Mytilus edulis: one gene and its partner. The protein of the gene in region 2 purifies or fractionates together with the protein of the main gene of each other region. This does not show direct contact. Links are inferred from orthologs where the notes say so. Each region holds a gene or a part of one and is shown on either strand. Other genes may lie near its edges.

Region 1 (8,130 bases), on a different chromosome or scaffold from region 2:
GAACATAGTTCCCTACCGGTTCCAAAATTCATTGTAGAATTTGTACTGGAAGAAAAGGATAACTTATCTAAATTGTCATGGTGTCAACTATAAAACAAATGTCAAGCTAATATCTTCAAAAAGGACCATCACTCTTAACAAAATCAACAGACCAAAACAAATTTGAACTGTTAATTTCTGTGTCCTTTGGTCTCTTGTGGAGTTGTCTCATTGGCAATTACAGTAATGGGGCTTCGTACTGGTACAAAGTTGACATCCCCATCTCCCCACAAAATTTTTTGATAAAAAACTTTTTTGTAACTGTTGGAAAAGGTCTAATGAAACTCCTGTAATATCAAATCGTATGTGGGCGTATGCAATATTTTCTTGGAAAAAACTATTTTCCATCATCAAATAGAAGCTGAAACTGCTTGTAAATCATTCTCAAACCCTTCACAGTTGTTAAAATAAGTTTATATCCCACAAAAAACAATTAAGAAACTTGTTTATGTTTAAAGTTTAGAACGGAAGTTTGACAAGCACAGAGAAAAATACGGCGAGAGTCAAAATCTGTACATACAATTGACTAGATATCAATATAATACAACTTTGAAAGTAAAATAGTTCCATCCTGATGTAAATAAGTGTTAAATATATCTATCACATTAGTGTTTGAAGGGTTTTAAGCTAATAAATAACATATTAGTCTGCATGAAACATGAATAAGAAACGTATAATAACTGATTACGTTTTCTAATTTACACACTGTAAGCTGGTTTATGATTGTCTTTCTTACTTTTTTGGTACAGCTTCATTCAAGCAGATACCAGTTTATTTTATAAGCAATGCAATGAAAAGAAATTAGAAATTTGTTATGAAGCATTTAATTTCTAAATTTATATTATTATTCAATATTAATTTGATATTGAATAATAACTTATTAATATGGATTAGATAAAATTATTAGTTCGAAAAATTATAAAGAGTGCGAAATTTGAATTTTTCTCTTATTTCTTGCTTATTGTACTCTTTAGTCCGCACCCCAGCTGGTAGGTTCAATTTTGGAGAATAAACCGCAGACTATACAAGCCTTTTATCGGTAAACCACATCTTCTTTTTTATATTGATCTATAACTTGTTAAGATAAAATAATATCTCAAATATCAAATCAATATCTTCAAAATTGATTTGCTGGACTGATGGAAAGGGACAGAAAAACCAACATGTACAAATGTACAATGTATGTCTAATTTTTTTCAACATTCATTCAATAAATTTTAAAATAAAAAAATGTTGTGTTGTTAGACAAGGAAAAGTTTCAATCCACGGATTTATGCCATGAGACAGGAAACAAGATTTTATATATTTAAGGCCAAGCAAAGTTTTAAATAACAGGACAAATTTAAATTAAAAATAATTGTACTGATACATAATTTAGAGGCTTTCTGAAATTCCACACAAAAACATTGTTATTAAAACCCTGCATCACTTTTGCCATTTTTAGATTTATACGCACTTTTGGTGTTACTTTGTATTTCATTTCTTGATCTTGAAATAAGCTTCTTTTCAAGTTTCATAAAAAATCATCAAAATGATAGTCTTTTTAATCTTATCATTTTAAAATGAAAATTCATGAAAAAAAATCAAGACCAGACTGTCTTTAAATGTCAACTGCAAAATATAAAGTCTAAGACATTCTATGACCATCTTTCAGTAAAATATTGAAAAGTCAAAAAAACAAATTTTTTATCAACAACGAAATTTGAAATTCAAGGTATGAAAAGTTTTGCTATGTATTTTTTACTGTGCTTGTAAAGTTATCTAGGTAAGAAATGGCTTGGCGAAGCAAAAATTAAACCTTGTATGAAACTAACAATTCTTAAAATACAACACATCTTGCTGTTATTAGATATTTAATAATAGGATACAATTACTAACTTTCCCAAATTTTGTTTGTCCTTGTTAGTTGTTTAAAATGTATCGTTATTCTATTTATACAATTAAAGCAATTTAAACAAATCAAGAACAATTACATTTGTGTAGGTCTAATGTCCTACAATGTATGGGTCAGTTTTAAAGCTGACAACAAATACATGTAGTCAACAACACAAGATAAAACTAATTCAAAATAAAATATATTTTCCTCTAATCAATGTAAGAGAAGACTCGCATATATATTTTTATTTGCGAGTAATATGGACCAAAAGTTGATATTATGCCCTGGGAATGGGTGTTGTTTACATTTTGAAAAGGTACAGCCCCATCTCATCAATGAACTAAAGTTAACCAATCACAACTCTCTCATTGCCGGACTATTTTCGTTTGTAGTACAAAATCCACGTGCTAATGTTGTTTTCCTGATGTAAATACTCCCAATTTACACATATGAAACTCTTGAAGTTCTGAAAATATAATGTTATGATGCTGTGTTTCCACAGCAAGCACTGTCAACACACAGAACTTATGTGCAGTCAATTTTCAAAAGTAGAATCAGACTTACTTTGGTGTTTATCGGCAAGCAGGGTAAGTGAACTGGAGATGTCCCTTCTTCGGTAGAAACACATAACTTTTGCTTCGACGTTGCCATTTGGAGTCTGAAAAAATGAAAATAGACATCTGATATCGAAGCCATTTCGATCACCTGAACACGTGACCACCCAGTGTGATAAATTAACACCCCATAGGTACCTCTTTGCCCTTTACCGGCCTCAATTTACATTCTTTTTTATTAAACAGCTAATTTTACGACATAAAAAAGAAAATAAATAAAATGCTGTACCTTGTTTAGTTCCTCTATACGTCGAATTTGGTATGGAGTTGTTGAACTTGTCTCAAAATAGACGTAATCTGTAATAAGAAAATAAAAATTCTTTGTTTAAAATTAATTTGTAGTATAATCCTTCCGCCAAAACATAGTCCATTTTAAAAAGCTTCCTTGAACTTAAGTACCAGTTGAATTCAAATTTAAAGTATTTTTCTAATATAAATAATTGTAATACAAACTGAATATACGAATCTTTCCATTGATTTGTTAGATAAACATTCGTAAATCCATGTTTTAGAAAAGGAGAAAAACTTCTTCCTTCTGTCATTCCGACCGCTTTACTTCCCCCTTGAGATCCCCAAACTGAACTTCCTTTCCACATTACACTTCAAAACATTCACAAAAATGATTGAATATCCATTTTCACTAGTAAACAAACAAATTTCCTAAAAAATGCGGTTTATTTCTCTTTAAATGCATGATTATGGTGACACAATATTCCAACGCGTTGGAAGAGTGGGGACCGTCCATGCTGTTTCCCAATAATTCTTCCGTACCTCCTACTCTGTACATGTTTGCAGCCATGACTGGTAATTATTGTGTTGTTCTCTCAGTTGTGTTCCAAAAGTCCAACAAGCCGACAAAAATACATCAATAAAATATGGGTAGTGTCCGGTCAGTATCACCCCCAGACGACATTTCATGGAGTCGCCATTTCTCGGCTTTTCTGTCTTCCTCCTCTTTTCACACGTGACGTCATTCGTCCTTCGGCGGCTTTGGTTTTCACTCCGAACTATTTTGATGTCTTTCATAGAGATTACATACATATATCTTGTAGGGTATCAAAGTTCATAATTTTTTTCGATGAAAATAATTGGAATATTTGAAATTTACTTTAATTATTGTTATTATCTAAATCCTATTAATTAATTGTTTATCTAAACTTAACTTTTTTTAAATCCTGTATTTTGAATACAATGAAAATCAATCATTAGGCCAAATAAAAAATGATTTGTTATAGCTTGTTTAGTCACGCACAATGATTTACATATGTTTTGTACCACGTAAGCAGGCCAAGTATACGACTGAATCGTATTCATAATTAAAAGGATAGTATAATCATAAACTTCAGTCAGCGTTCAGATCTTACTGTATATTATCCACATTCTTAATACGTCATTAAAATGTCTGTTTGTTTGTTATTTGGTATAAGAGAAAAAAGGGGGATAGACTTTTCACTATTTGCAATTTTATATAATGTGTATTAGGAATGCGGGAACTACAATAATTGTCTTTTTATCATGTGCAATACCTGATTTCTAATTAGATATATCTGAAAGACTATACAGAAAAATAGATAAATTATATAGATAGTTGACAGTCGTACAACGATGTGGTGGGCAGTAGTTACTATTATTTCAGGCTTAATTTGGTAAGATTAAAAAAAAAGATACATGCACATTTGGATATTTGCTAGCATAGTGAAAAAGTAGCCATGACGCTAGTAGTGGGACTTTTTGTTTATATAATGCACCTTTTGATACTCTACATCAGAGACATGTCTCTGTCTACATATATATAAATTGCCATGTCATTTTGAACCGTGCCGATGATTGAAAAAAAACTAGCTTAGAATTTTTAGTCATTGCAAACATTCAATGATTATACATTGTTTTGTATAGATTTTATATATATATATAAAGATGTGGTATGATTGCCAATGAGACAACAGTTTCTGTCCACAACAGACCAAAATGACACAGAAATTAACAACTATAGGTCACCGTACGGCCTTCAACAATGAGCAAAGCCATACTAGAACGCATAGTCAGCTATAAAAGGCCCCGAAATGACAATGTAATACAATTCAAACGAGAAAACTAACGGCCTTGTTTATATATAAAAAAAAAAAAAAATGAACGAAAAACAAATATGTAACACATTAACAAACGACAACCACTGAATTATAGGCTCCTGACTTGGGACAGGCACATACATAAATAGTTTTGGTCGTTTTTTTAAGTTTTTTAAAATAAGTCTTTTTTTTAATCATAATGTTTGGGGTTGTTTTTTTTTCGTTTTTAATGTTTATGTTTGTTTTTGCTTTTGTTTTGTTTTTTATTGTTGTTGTTGTTGGGGTTTTTTTGTAGGGGGTGTATTTTTATCGCAAATGATTGCTTCACTTCTATTGGGAATTCGATACAAATGGCACTGAATATTCAAAACTTACCTATACTATAGAATAGAACAGAATATAGAATAAAAAAAAATGATTTCCCAAATTACAGGGCCGATAATGGGCATTAAATCAGATGCAATTAATTGACATAAAAGGATTACCGAGATTGCCATACATACGAAACGTATATATGAATACGAGTATGACATGCCATGAATCAACCACTTGGACGTCAATGGTGATCTTTTTCAAAGTCTAAAGTAAAACTAGTTACTTGCATGTGTACAAGGCCGTAACTACCCTTGAGGCAAGTGAGGCAATTGCCTCACTAAAATTTCGACACTGATTATTTTTTTTTATACATATATACAAATAAAATAGTCTTTTGTTGTTCTGTCTCAACCTTAATTTCTATAACTTGTCATCATTCCTTTAAACTATTCTTCCTGGATATAACTCAGCATCTCAACGGGTGATGTTTCTCAATTACATTAACCTAGTAACGATAATCATCATGGATCTCTGGTTAAAAACAGGCTCTTGCAGAAAAAGGAAAAGCGACACTGAAGGTAAAGAAGGAATAATTCTAGTAAACTAATTTGTTTGTGAACGTAGTCTGCGTATTGCATATAACTTCATTAGAACAATCCAAAAACGATAAGTAGACTGACAAATCAAGTAGTGGGCATCGCAAGGGGGCAGTCCTGTCTGTGTATTCATTTCTCAGTTTCATCAACTTTAATCTTTCTCTTTACAGATAAATAAAATATAAATAATATGAAACATGCATGGATTAGTTTTTCATGATCCATGTTTCTTTATCCTTAAAAATTGAAAGAACATCCCATATTCCAATTTGACATTATTGAGGAATGGTATAGAACCTTTATCACAGGATTTTGTCTTTACTTATTCGGGACTACGGAATTTCATTTCTTTATATTCGGGGTTTCGGAATCAGACACCCCCAACCCATAACCCCTTAATTTATAGATTCTGGAACTAAAATACCACCGACTATTTCCAGAAATAATTTGAAATTACGGACCTACATGTAAACGTCAAACTCCATTTTAATTCCCCTGTACCCATATCATATATACTTAATACTCTATAGATAGATCATATACATGTATCTTATCTCATTCTATCCCTAGTTTGTTTACTCTTTGTCAGCATACAAGCGAGTTTAATATTTTGTAACTGAGACTGTATGATGATGCTAGCCTTTATAGGAAAGCTTAATTCCCTTTTGCAAACAAAACTGTTACTACCGATGCTGCTACCGAATTGCTGATGGAGAAGGAATTGGAAGAAGACATTGATCATTGTGTTGATGATAATGTGCTACCTTTAGAAACACAGACTGACCTGAAACGACTGAAATCTAGGAAAAGAGCATACATGAGTGGCGAGAGGTTGTGCGGTCTTGCCATGCTCCATGTTCATCGCGATAAGGATATCAGCAGACCAAAGTTATGATTCTAAAACAATTTAATTGACTGAACCCACCATAGAAATAATTGACAAACTCTACTGAATCGATGTTTGTTCTATGTTCTGGCGGCAGATTTAAATTGATATTTGGATGATTATCTTACATACAAATTCAAATAAAGTTGTTAAAAATTTGGTATTAGTAAAAGTCTTTAAATATGAACAATTTATATAAAAACTGTCCAAATTCAAAATATTATCAAACTCTCTAAAAATGCCTAGAACGCAGGATTTTGCACCATTCATTTCATACCCTCCAAAAAAATTTAACGCCTCGCTTCGCTCGGCTCAATTATTTTGCCTCACTAAAATAAGATGCCTAGTTACGGCCTTGGTGTACCTTATTACTAATTCATAAATTTTTTTCGAACATTTATTTTTGCGATTTTGTCATTTAAGACTAAAATGTGACATTCTTCGGAATATTAAAAATCCTGTTTAATTCATATAAAAAAAATCAAAATGCGAGTTAAAATAACAACATAATCTTGTTGATATAAATAAACAGTCTTTACAATAATACAATAGATAAGAAATCTTTCTTCGACTATACCAACATAAAAAAAGGATTGACCGTCCATCCCAATATGGAAGCCCATTGTGAATTAAAAAAAATGAATAGATGTCAGGTATACGTGAATTCTCAAGACAGCAACTATACGATGTCGACTTTGCTCATTGTTAAAGGCAGTACGGTGACCTATAGATATATAGTCGTTAATTTCTGTGTCATTTAGTCTCTTGTGGAGTATTGTCTCGTAGAAAACCATACCGTCCACATCATCTTATTTTTATATTTAACAATATATATGCAGGTGTGTATACAGTTCATCAAAATCTTAATCGCACAGAAACTATAAAAGTTGTCAAAAATTAAACAGCTGTGCCATCAACACCCAATTTTCAATATAACGTAAAACTTAAACCAAGATACAATTGCTGACGAGGTTCCTGACATGATGATGGGTCATGCAGATGTTTATATTGCCAGTTCCTGGATCACTTAATTATTACAGCAAATGGTAGTTTCCAGAGGCGGATTTTGGGAGGGGGCAGAGAGTCTGATCCCCTTTTGTGGGAAACATTTTGTTGATTTATATATAGGGAATCACTGAAGCATGTCTGGAGTGGATCCCCTCTAAGGCAGTCCACGATCAGGCACAATTTTTTTTAATAAGCAGCTAATTCAAAATTGTCCTAGTTCAAGGATTTTAATTCGTAAAAAAATGTAGGGTGGGACTAAGTGAGTGGCTATACATCTTGGCAATCATGTTTTAGTACAGATAAATTAGGGGAACTAAGCTTAATTTTTACGGAATGAGTCACTTTTTCACACTGGTTAAAGAAAGTCGGTGACAATTGCCTCCTCCTTTATATACTACATACATTGTATAGCAACACGGTAAGTAGTCCAATTTATCTCCCCTAAAAATTAGTTGAAATTTTGGTAAAGCAGTACGTTTTTGTTCGAAAACTCTTTGAACCAGAAAATGTATTACAATACGATAATATCTTTTTGCATTCCTTGTTTATAGAAATATATTAAAGAAAGAATGACAGTATTTAGACGTTCAAGTTTGCTTATTGTAGTGAAAATTTGGACCGATCATGTAATGTATGCAGGTGTGTATAAAGTTCATCAAAATCTTAATCGCACATGTTATTAATCTTCTTCTTCTTTTGTTACAGAAAACCATCAAACGGTACTGAT
Region 2 (7,972 bases):
TATCATGTTCTACTTTTAGCCATTGTGGCCATCTTGGTTGATGGGCGCGGTCATCGGATACATTTTAAAAACTAGATACATACCATAAGGATGATTTAGGCCAAGTTTGGTTTAATTTGGCCCAGTAGTTTCAGAGGAGAAGATTTTTCTAAAAATTTATAACGGACAGAGAAGACGGACGACGGACGCCAAGTGAAGCTCATTTGGTCCTTGTGGGCCAGGTGAGCTAAAATAAATCATGTTTAATCGTACTTTACTTATAAATGGACTGAGTTTTTCTGCCAGTTAACATAACATACAGTCTGTGATTCAAGTTTTAAAAAACATTTAGATTCCTAAAGTATAGGCGAGACACTGGGTTCCGCGGAAGCCTTACACATTGTTGTTTATGATTGCTCTTTTGTGAGATAGTTGAACTTATCTTAAGATTTTATTTTGCAATTACGGGGCCGCCAACAATTGGTGTCTCCTAGATACTATAAAATAGCAATGCAAAAAAATAAACACAAAAGAAGTTCTACATTGATACAGTTGTGCGGGTCATCACTTTGTTTTTTTTTTTTCTTTTCTTTTTTTAATATCATGATTTCAAATTAAAATCACATGAAATAATTTAATTATTTTTTCCTACGTATATGTATGTCTTCAAATTCAAACATAGATTAGCCTTGTTTGTAGCTTCTGTAAACCAAAATTACTTAACAATTGCGCGTTCTCGATCCTAGACTGTCAACATCCTACAAGAAAAAGCCAAGGATTTATAGATAATCGAGAAGGGTAATCTAAGATTCCATGTGGCCAAATCATTTCCATGAACACAGCCACTTCAAAAAATCTGGTGGTTTAACTATGGGTCTCGCCAGAAGATGAAGTCATGTTATATATGCAATAAAAACTGTCCACAGATCAAAGAATTAGTCAATCAGATAGGTTAAATCATATGTTGAGTCAGACGATGAAACGTATATTCTAAATATAAAGAAGGCGCTGATAAACCCAACAGTGAAACAAAAACCTTACCATTAACACCAAATTATAATATATTTAACAGTAATTGTCAGGGGGTCTAGGAGTACTAAAAGGGCGTGCGCCACTTTGATTGCCATTCAAAAGAAAAGAAAAAAGACAAAAATATCATGTTTATCACGATTTATATGAATTTCCAGCCATAAATAAAGGCAATAGTAGTATACCGCTGTTCAAAGGCATAAATCGATTGACATAAAACAAATTCGCGTTACAAACTTAAACTGAGGGAAACACATCAAGAGGAAAACAACGGAACAACAGAAACGCTGAGGTGCAACAAAAACAAACGTCAACATACATCGAAACGAACTATTTGATAACAAATGCCATATATTCCTGATCTGCGTTCAAGACATTTTAAGAAAAATGGTGGGTTGAACCTGGTTTTATTGCTAGCCAAACCTCCCGTTTATAAGGCAATGTTAAAAAATATCGCTAAAATGACAACACTAAGTGACTGGAATACAGAATACAAACAATCGTCCAAATAGTTTTTGCCAAGCTATGCTCGGCAGTATATATTCCGTTTTCTGAAATAAATAAAAAACAAGTAATTTTTTTTTGTTCAAGCTAGAGGATACACAAAATTGAGTTGTCCAGTCTTTTTTTACCTTTATTCTGCCTGTATCTTAATAAGCAATGCATACAAAAAGAAAAATATATGCAATCGATATAGTATGTATATAGACAAATGTTTCAGATAACAAATTAAAAAACTAAAAAGATACCAGAATAAAAACCATGCAAAATTTAACAGAATCAATAAAAAGAATGTCATCAAAGAAAAGCTAGTTTCAAGTACTTATAATCAAAAGATGTAGGAAAAACGTCATCTTATGGTTAAAATATGTCATGTTGTCATCAAAAGTGGATTTTAAAGTTGTACGTCAATATCATCAACAGTGCAGAAAAACAGGACCCCTTGCAATGGGTCATATGTATATCCGTATATCAATTATATCCGTATATGTTAATTTACCCCCCCCCCCCCCCTTTTTGTTTACCTTTAACAAACGAAACAAACAAAACTAACAAAACAAAACAAAACAAACAAACAAACAAACAAACAAACAAACAAACAAACAAACAAACATAACAATCATAACAAACATAACAAAACAAACATAACAAACAATACAAAACAAACCCACGAAAGAAGAAGATAGAAAGTTATCAAAAAAATCATTCTGAAAATAATTCTGTGAGCCAGCTTAACTGCAGGAGGCACCAATGGACAGTGCTATATGGCATGGTGGTGCATATTAAAATCTGTATAGGGGCATTAATGATATGGTAAGATATATAAGGTGTTTTTCGCAGTCCTGTATTAAATTAAATTCAATTTTATTCTCGTGACAATTAGTTTCTCAATTAACCTAACTTGTGATGATCAATATAGTTATAGCATTACCATGCATGCAAATGAAACAAAAACATGTGATTTTTATCTATAAGCCTACAGTACGATATTCAAAGCTGAAACAACCTGTTGTTAAAAATCTATACAGTTCTGGTTATTACCAGTCGAAAAAAAATCTGGGGAGAACATGTTCTTTAAGCTCTGCTATTTCAAACTGAATCAAATATTTAAAAAAAAGTTGCAGTACTTCACGCTGAAACAAAGCCGAACAAGAAGAATAGCTAAAGTTCTGTTTGAAGAAACACAAACAAAAACACAAACACAAAAAAACATTCAACGAAGATCTTCAGTACTTTCCTATCAAACTGAAACAAGCTGAGAAGAAATCTAGCTGTCTGCTTTAAACACTCGAAACAAGCCTTGTAATGATATATAGTTTACATGTAAATATAAATTTAGAGTTGTGCTATTACAACCAAATCAAGCTCTACAGCTCTGATATGTTTAGCGGAAACAAACCGGATAAGAATATCGAGATATCTGTCAGTTAAAACAAAATCACGAGAAAAAATATTTACAGTACTTATATTCTAAACTGAAATAGATACGAGAAGAAAAACCTTTACACAAGTTCCATCTGCTGTTACCAGCTGAACTTGACCAGAAATCAAACATGAAAAGAACATATATACAGCAAGTACTGTAACTGCAAGTTGAAACATGACAGAAAAGAAAATATATAGAGATCTTATATTCAGTTGAACAAACATGGAAAAAAGAACTATATCGGCCCGTAAATAAATTCTTGGAAAACATCTAGTTCTCGGTGCTCTTTGTTAGTTAATTGATTGATAGAAGTTGCTTGACGCTCTGCTATGTTTGTAATAAAAGGCAATTGACTGAACCAGTTAAGGTTTGAAATGAAGCTAGAAGACTATAGTAACATGCAGAAAACTGCGGGGCCGGAAAGTGATAACAAAGTATATACGGTGTGTTTGGGTGGTTTTTGTGTGTGTGTGTGGGGGGGGGGGGGGGGGGGGGTGGGGGTAATTGAAGATTATATTAAGCAGAAACTCAGTAAAGAAGTAATATAGAAAGTAGAAAATAGTTTTTGATCACGCATGTTTATTTCAATAGCATTGGGGAGGATCTTAGAAAACACGCATCAAAGATATATAACAGGCTTTAAGCATTTGCTGATTGTTGAAGCCGTATCGAGTTATTAACTTCTATATGATCTTGTCTCTTGTGGATAGTTGTCTCATTGGCAATCATACCACATCTTCTTATATTTGTTCAGTTTCTAACAGGTTTTTGTTAATATACGCCAGACATTGCTAGATCATAGAAAACGAATCGTTGACCGTGCACTTGAGGGCTGCCGCCAAATCAAATATGAATTTAAAAAGTATAAGAACCAAAAATGCTAAAATTTGTCAAATTATCACGACAAAATACAACCATAGCAATCTGCGGTTCGGGTTATAAAACTCTTTGTATGTGTAATACGACTAGTATATAATCTACCTATATTTGCGCTAAATATGTAAACTTGGCTTCAAGTAAGAAAAATCTTTGAAGAATCTGTCATCAAACTGTATTTTCAAAATTAAAAAAGGGTTCAAATACAATAAAAATTCAACTATGATTTATTTTTTTTTGGTTTTACAAAATTTATAAACGTGACAAGAGACGAAATATGGTATTTGAAACACACTTTATGATTTATCATTTACTTTCTCATTTAATTGGAATAAATATTGATAAAGCTCTGTCTAAAAAGGAACAAAAATTATCATGGTGACCTAATTATGTGATTACAAAAGTGAGATTTTGCAACATTTCAGACAAAATATTTGCAAAAGCCGAAATACTTTTAATTTCACATTTTATTTATGTGTTTTTATTAAACTGTATAGGTCAATTTGCAATATATACTTAATTTTGTGCATAAGTCGTTAATTTGAAAATTAAGCGATAAGAAATAGATTTTTGTCATCTTAACAAAAAGATGATGGGGCTCTACAAGCAATTCATTTTGTTAAATATGGATGTGTAAAAACTTGTCATTTAATAATTGTCTAATTTTTGTGTAAACATGGAAATCTCAGGTATCATTTGAAAATCGAAATTGATGGACATGATAAGGTACCCAAGTTTTTCTGAAACAATTAAAGTATGCCTAGGGGTACTTTGATCTTGCACCTCATTAAATCACGTGATAAGTTATTAACTAAATCAAGAAAATTATGGGATGTATAAACCAATCATTGACGTCATACTGCGCATGTTCGATTAAAGTTCCAAACCGCGACGCTGGGGGAAAAGACAGGGCATCCTAATTACCATTCAAAAATCATACAAAAAACGCATGCCAGCGCAAAATATATGGTGAAATCACGGAATCAGACATTTAAGACTTTAATTTTTGTGTGACATGCCTGGTGGAAAGTTTGACGACGAAGAAAACGTGGAAATGGAAGAGGAGGCCGGCGAAGGTAAAAACCAATCAGACATTGTTTAATTAGCCATCGATAACAATATAGGATTTCACCTACTGAAATGTGAAATAGTTAGCTATAGAATAGTTCAGACCATAGATTTATGATCCATTTAGCTATAGACATACTCTTCAGTCAAATTTATTTTGTTTTTATACCATGTTTTAGTGTTTTAACATGACCAAACCACGAGTCTGGAATCCCCCTTTGTTCATTTGCATATTCGTGGTAAATACGGCCTATTTTGAGGGTATTCCCCAGGTTTAAAGCGTTTTGAACTTGGATTGTATTAAAGATATTCATGAAAATTGAAGTGAAATGTTCATTTTGATATTTGGGAGAATTTTGTTATTCTTTTAATTTTCAAACGACGGGATAAATATCTGGATATATATCAATGGTGTCGGCTTATCACTGCGCATGACCAAAGTTATTTTAATTAATGAGGTCAAACTTGCAACACTTGTTGTGATACACAACGAAAACACATGATTGATTATCAAAAAGATGTTGACTTGTAAATATGTTTTAGTGATTAAATATAACAATATGGAGGAACAAGAGTTCGAAGAAAGCTTTTTAGAAGAACATTCAATCTATGAATGATTTATAAATAGAACAGCACATGTCTATTTTCATTTTCACTTCAAGCTTGTGCAAGGCACCATCCAGTTTACGTGGAATTTTAGGCTCTAGTTTTTTGTTGCATATTAAAAAAAAGTGTGATTGTAATGCACACATCAAATGAATATTTATAATATTTCGAAAAAAAAATGATAATTATTTATACAGTGAGGTGGTGAAAGATTATATGGGGATTCACTTTATGTTTATTTGGTAGCATTAAAGCTATGCATTTGCTATTATTAATAGTATGAGTTATTTGAGTTGTTTATCCCCCATTAATATAAGATTATTTGTGCTTAAAGATTAAATATCAAGTCTGAAGTTCAAATCCTTAAAAATGTGTCTGTATTAATTTTTGTTCATGGAAAAAAATTGGGTTTGCTACAAATATTCAAATGCCCATCTAACCCAAATAAAAAATTAACCTGAAATTAAACATTAAATTATATGACTCAGTTTTTAAAGTAATAATTAACAAAAAAAGATACAAGTGGGATTATATGTTGATTTCAGAATCCAAGAATTCAGCACTCTGTCCATTGTCTAAATCACCAACTCCACCCCTTACCCCTGCAACAGAGTTGGTCCATATGGGCATCACTTGTAAGTAATGGTTCCCTGCTTCAGCTTGATTTTGCATGTTTGGTTAGATGGAGCCCAGTACATGTTAGATGATCTTATCTTTTAATTTCGTTGCCATTGGGAAAGAAGCAACAACAATAAATTGTTAGCACTACAGTGGTTGGTACAAATTAATATGCAAATGTCATATATAGGTTTATGATTTTAGGTATATTATGAAACTCTGGTCATTCTGACAAACTTATTTTTGTTGCACTTATGCCCAATAATTAAAGTCATAAGAAACCTCAAATTAAAAAAAATAATGCATATGTTTTTTATAACTCAATGGATAGTTTTCATTATAAAACTTTTGTACTGTACATATACTTTTTTCTGAAGATAATTCTTTAACTTGTTCATATTAAGAAGAAGTTGTCAAAGAGAAAACTTTTTTTAAGGGTTACCCTTGATTTGGCTGGAGGCAAAAAACTACACTGTCTGTTTGCAATAGTAGTAGTATATAGAAATGGAGTTTTAGATCTATTCAACTTATTAATATTTTTAATTTCAGTACGTTTCTATATATATACTCGGAAATATTTTGTTATGTTTACTGTTTTGTGATGGTGGTAGATATTATTATTTCTCTTGCTTGTGTTATGATTTGAAATGAAAATGCAATTCGAACACTTAAGATGGCAAACTATCAGTATTTCGTTTTGTGTTCGTACATGTACAATACATATGAACATTAATATACAACGCTGGCTGGAAGTCTCTTATTGAACATTTGGTTGACAAAAAATTGTTCTCCCCAGAATTTTCAAAAAGCACCATGGAAATCAACATAGCACTGATTTACCAAAAAATACAGCACCATGGTCTCTATATACATGTATACATTCTATTAGAAAATCTTTCAAGATGGCATCAGACATGATGGTGCTTTTAGGCCCTGGGGAGAACATTGATTGTCAATAAATAAAAAAAAAAACTAGACATATGATATAACCAGACTTCACTGGAGGTTTTTTTTATAATTTCATTTCTGGACTTCTGTTCAACAATGTCAAAAACTGCTTATTTGACTTTCAAATTATTTGTTCCATCTTACAAATATATGTTTATAGTACAGCTATTGAGACATCTTTGACAACACTTCTTGCACCATAGACAATGCTAGACCACCTAGGCTTGCTAGACCAAGTAGTCTTGCTAGATCATTATGTTTATATTATGTACAGAAAAAAAAAAGTTTACCTGTACGTACTTTCTGTTGATTAATGTATTACATGTGTTGTGTGAATTTTTAATTTACAAAAATATTTACCTGAAATGATAATTTGATTGAGTTTTTTTTATTTTGAACAATAGAATTAGGCTAGTTACATGTATATGTACATGTTTTACTTCATTTGTAACATTTTATTTGTAGACCTGTTATTCATTGTACTTGTTTTTTTTTTTTTTACTGTTTATTTATTGTTAGAATGTTTAACATTTTACCCATATATTTTCACCCTTTTGTATGTATGCATGTACATCAACAATATTTACAATCTTCAACTTGTGAAATTTTAATATATTTAAGTTCTAACGTTGTGTATATTTTTAAAAAATAAGATATTTTAGGATTGTGAAATTTATGAACCATAAAAACCTGTTGTGTTCTTATGGAATAGATTTAAGATAAGTTAATATATATTTTTGTACAGCCTTCTACATTTAGCAAAACCTATACCATATATACATATGGTCTGTTGAAAAAAACCCACCAAACATGAAGAAATGTGAAACAATTTAAACAAAAAAACCAACAACCTGATTTATGAGATTATTAAAAAAAAAAGCCAAATATGACAGATACGAAAACAACCAAGGACAACCACTA

Evidence for each region.
Region 1: the proteins of chromodomain-helicase-DNA-binding protein Mi-2 homolog (region 2) and metastasis-associated protein MTA3-like fractionate together in Drosophila melanogaster (co-fractionation; 3 studies listed by BioGRID, with this or other methods). This does not show direct contact. The link is inferred for Mytilus edulis from reciprocal best matches to the Drosophila melanogaster genes Mi-2 and MTA1-like.

The regions. Positions count from the first base shown.
Region 1 is NC_092346.1:39,274,340-39,282,469, reverse strand, and holds the start of metastasis-associated protein MTA3-like, read right to left. Parts: upstream 3,734-8,130; 5' UTR 3,329-3,733; coding exon 3,301-3,328; intron 2,827-3,300; coding exon 2,759-2,826; intron 2,574-2,758; coding exon 2,480-2,573; intron 1-2,479.
Region 2 is NC_092356.1:18,627,924-18,635,895, reverse strand, and holds the start of chromodomain-helicase-DNA-binding protein Mi-2 homolog, read left to right. Parts: upstream 1-4,674; 5' UTR 4,675-4,826; coding exon 4,827-4,887; intron 4,888-6,030; coding exon 6,031-6,120; intron 6,121-7,972. UniProt on the Drosophila melanogaster protein: ATP-dependent chromatin-remodeling factor which acts in nucleosome-remodeling by catalyzing ATP-dependent nucleosome mobilization. Involved in regulating transcription. Plays a vital role in development.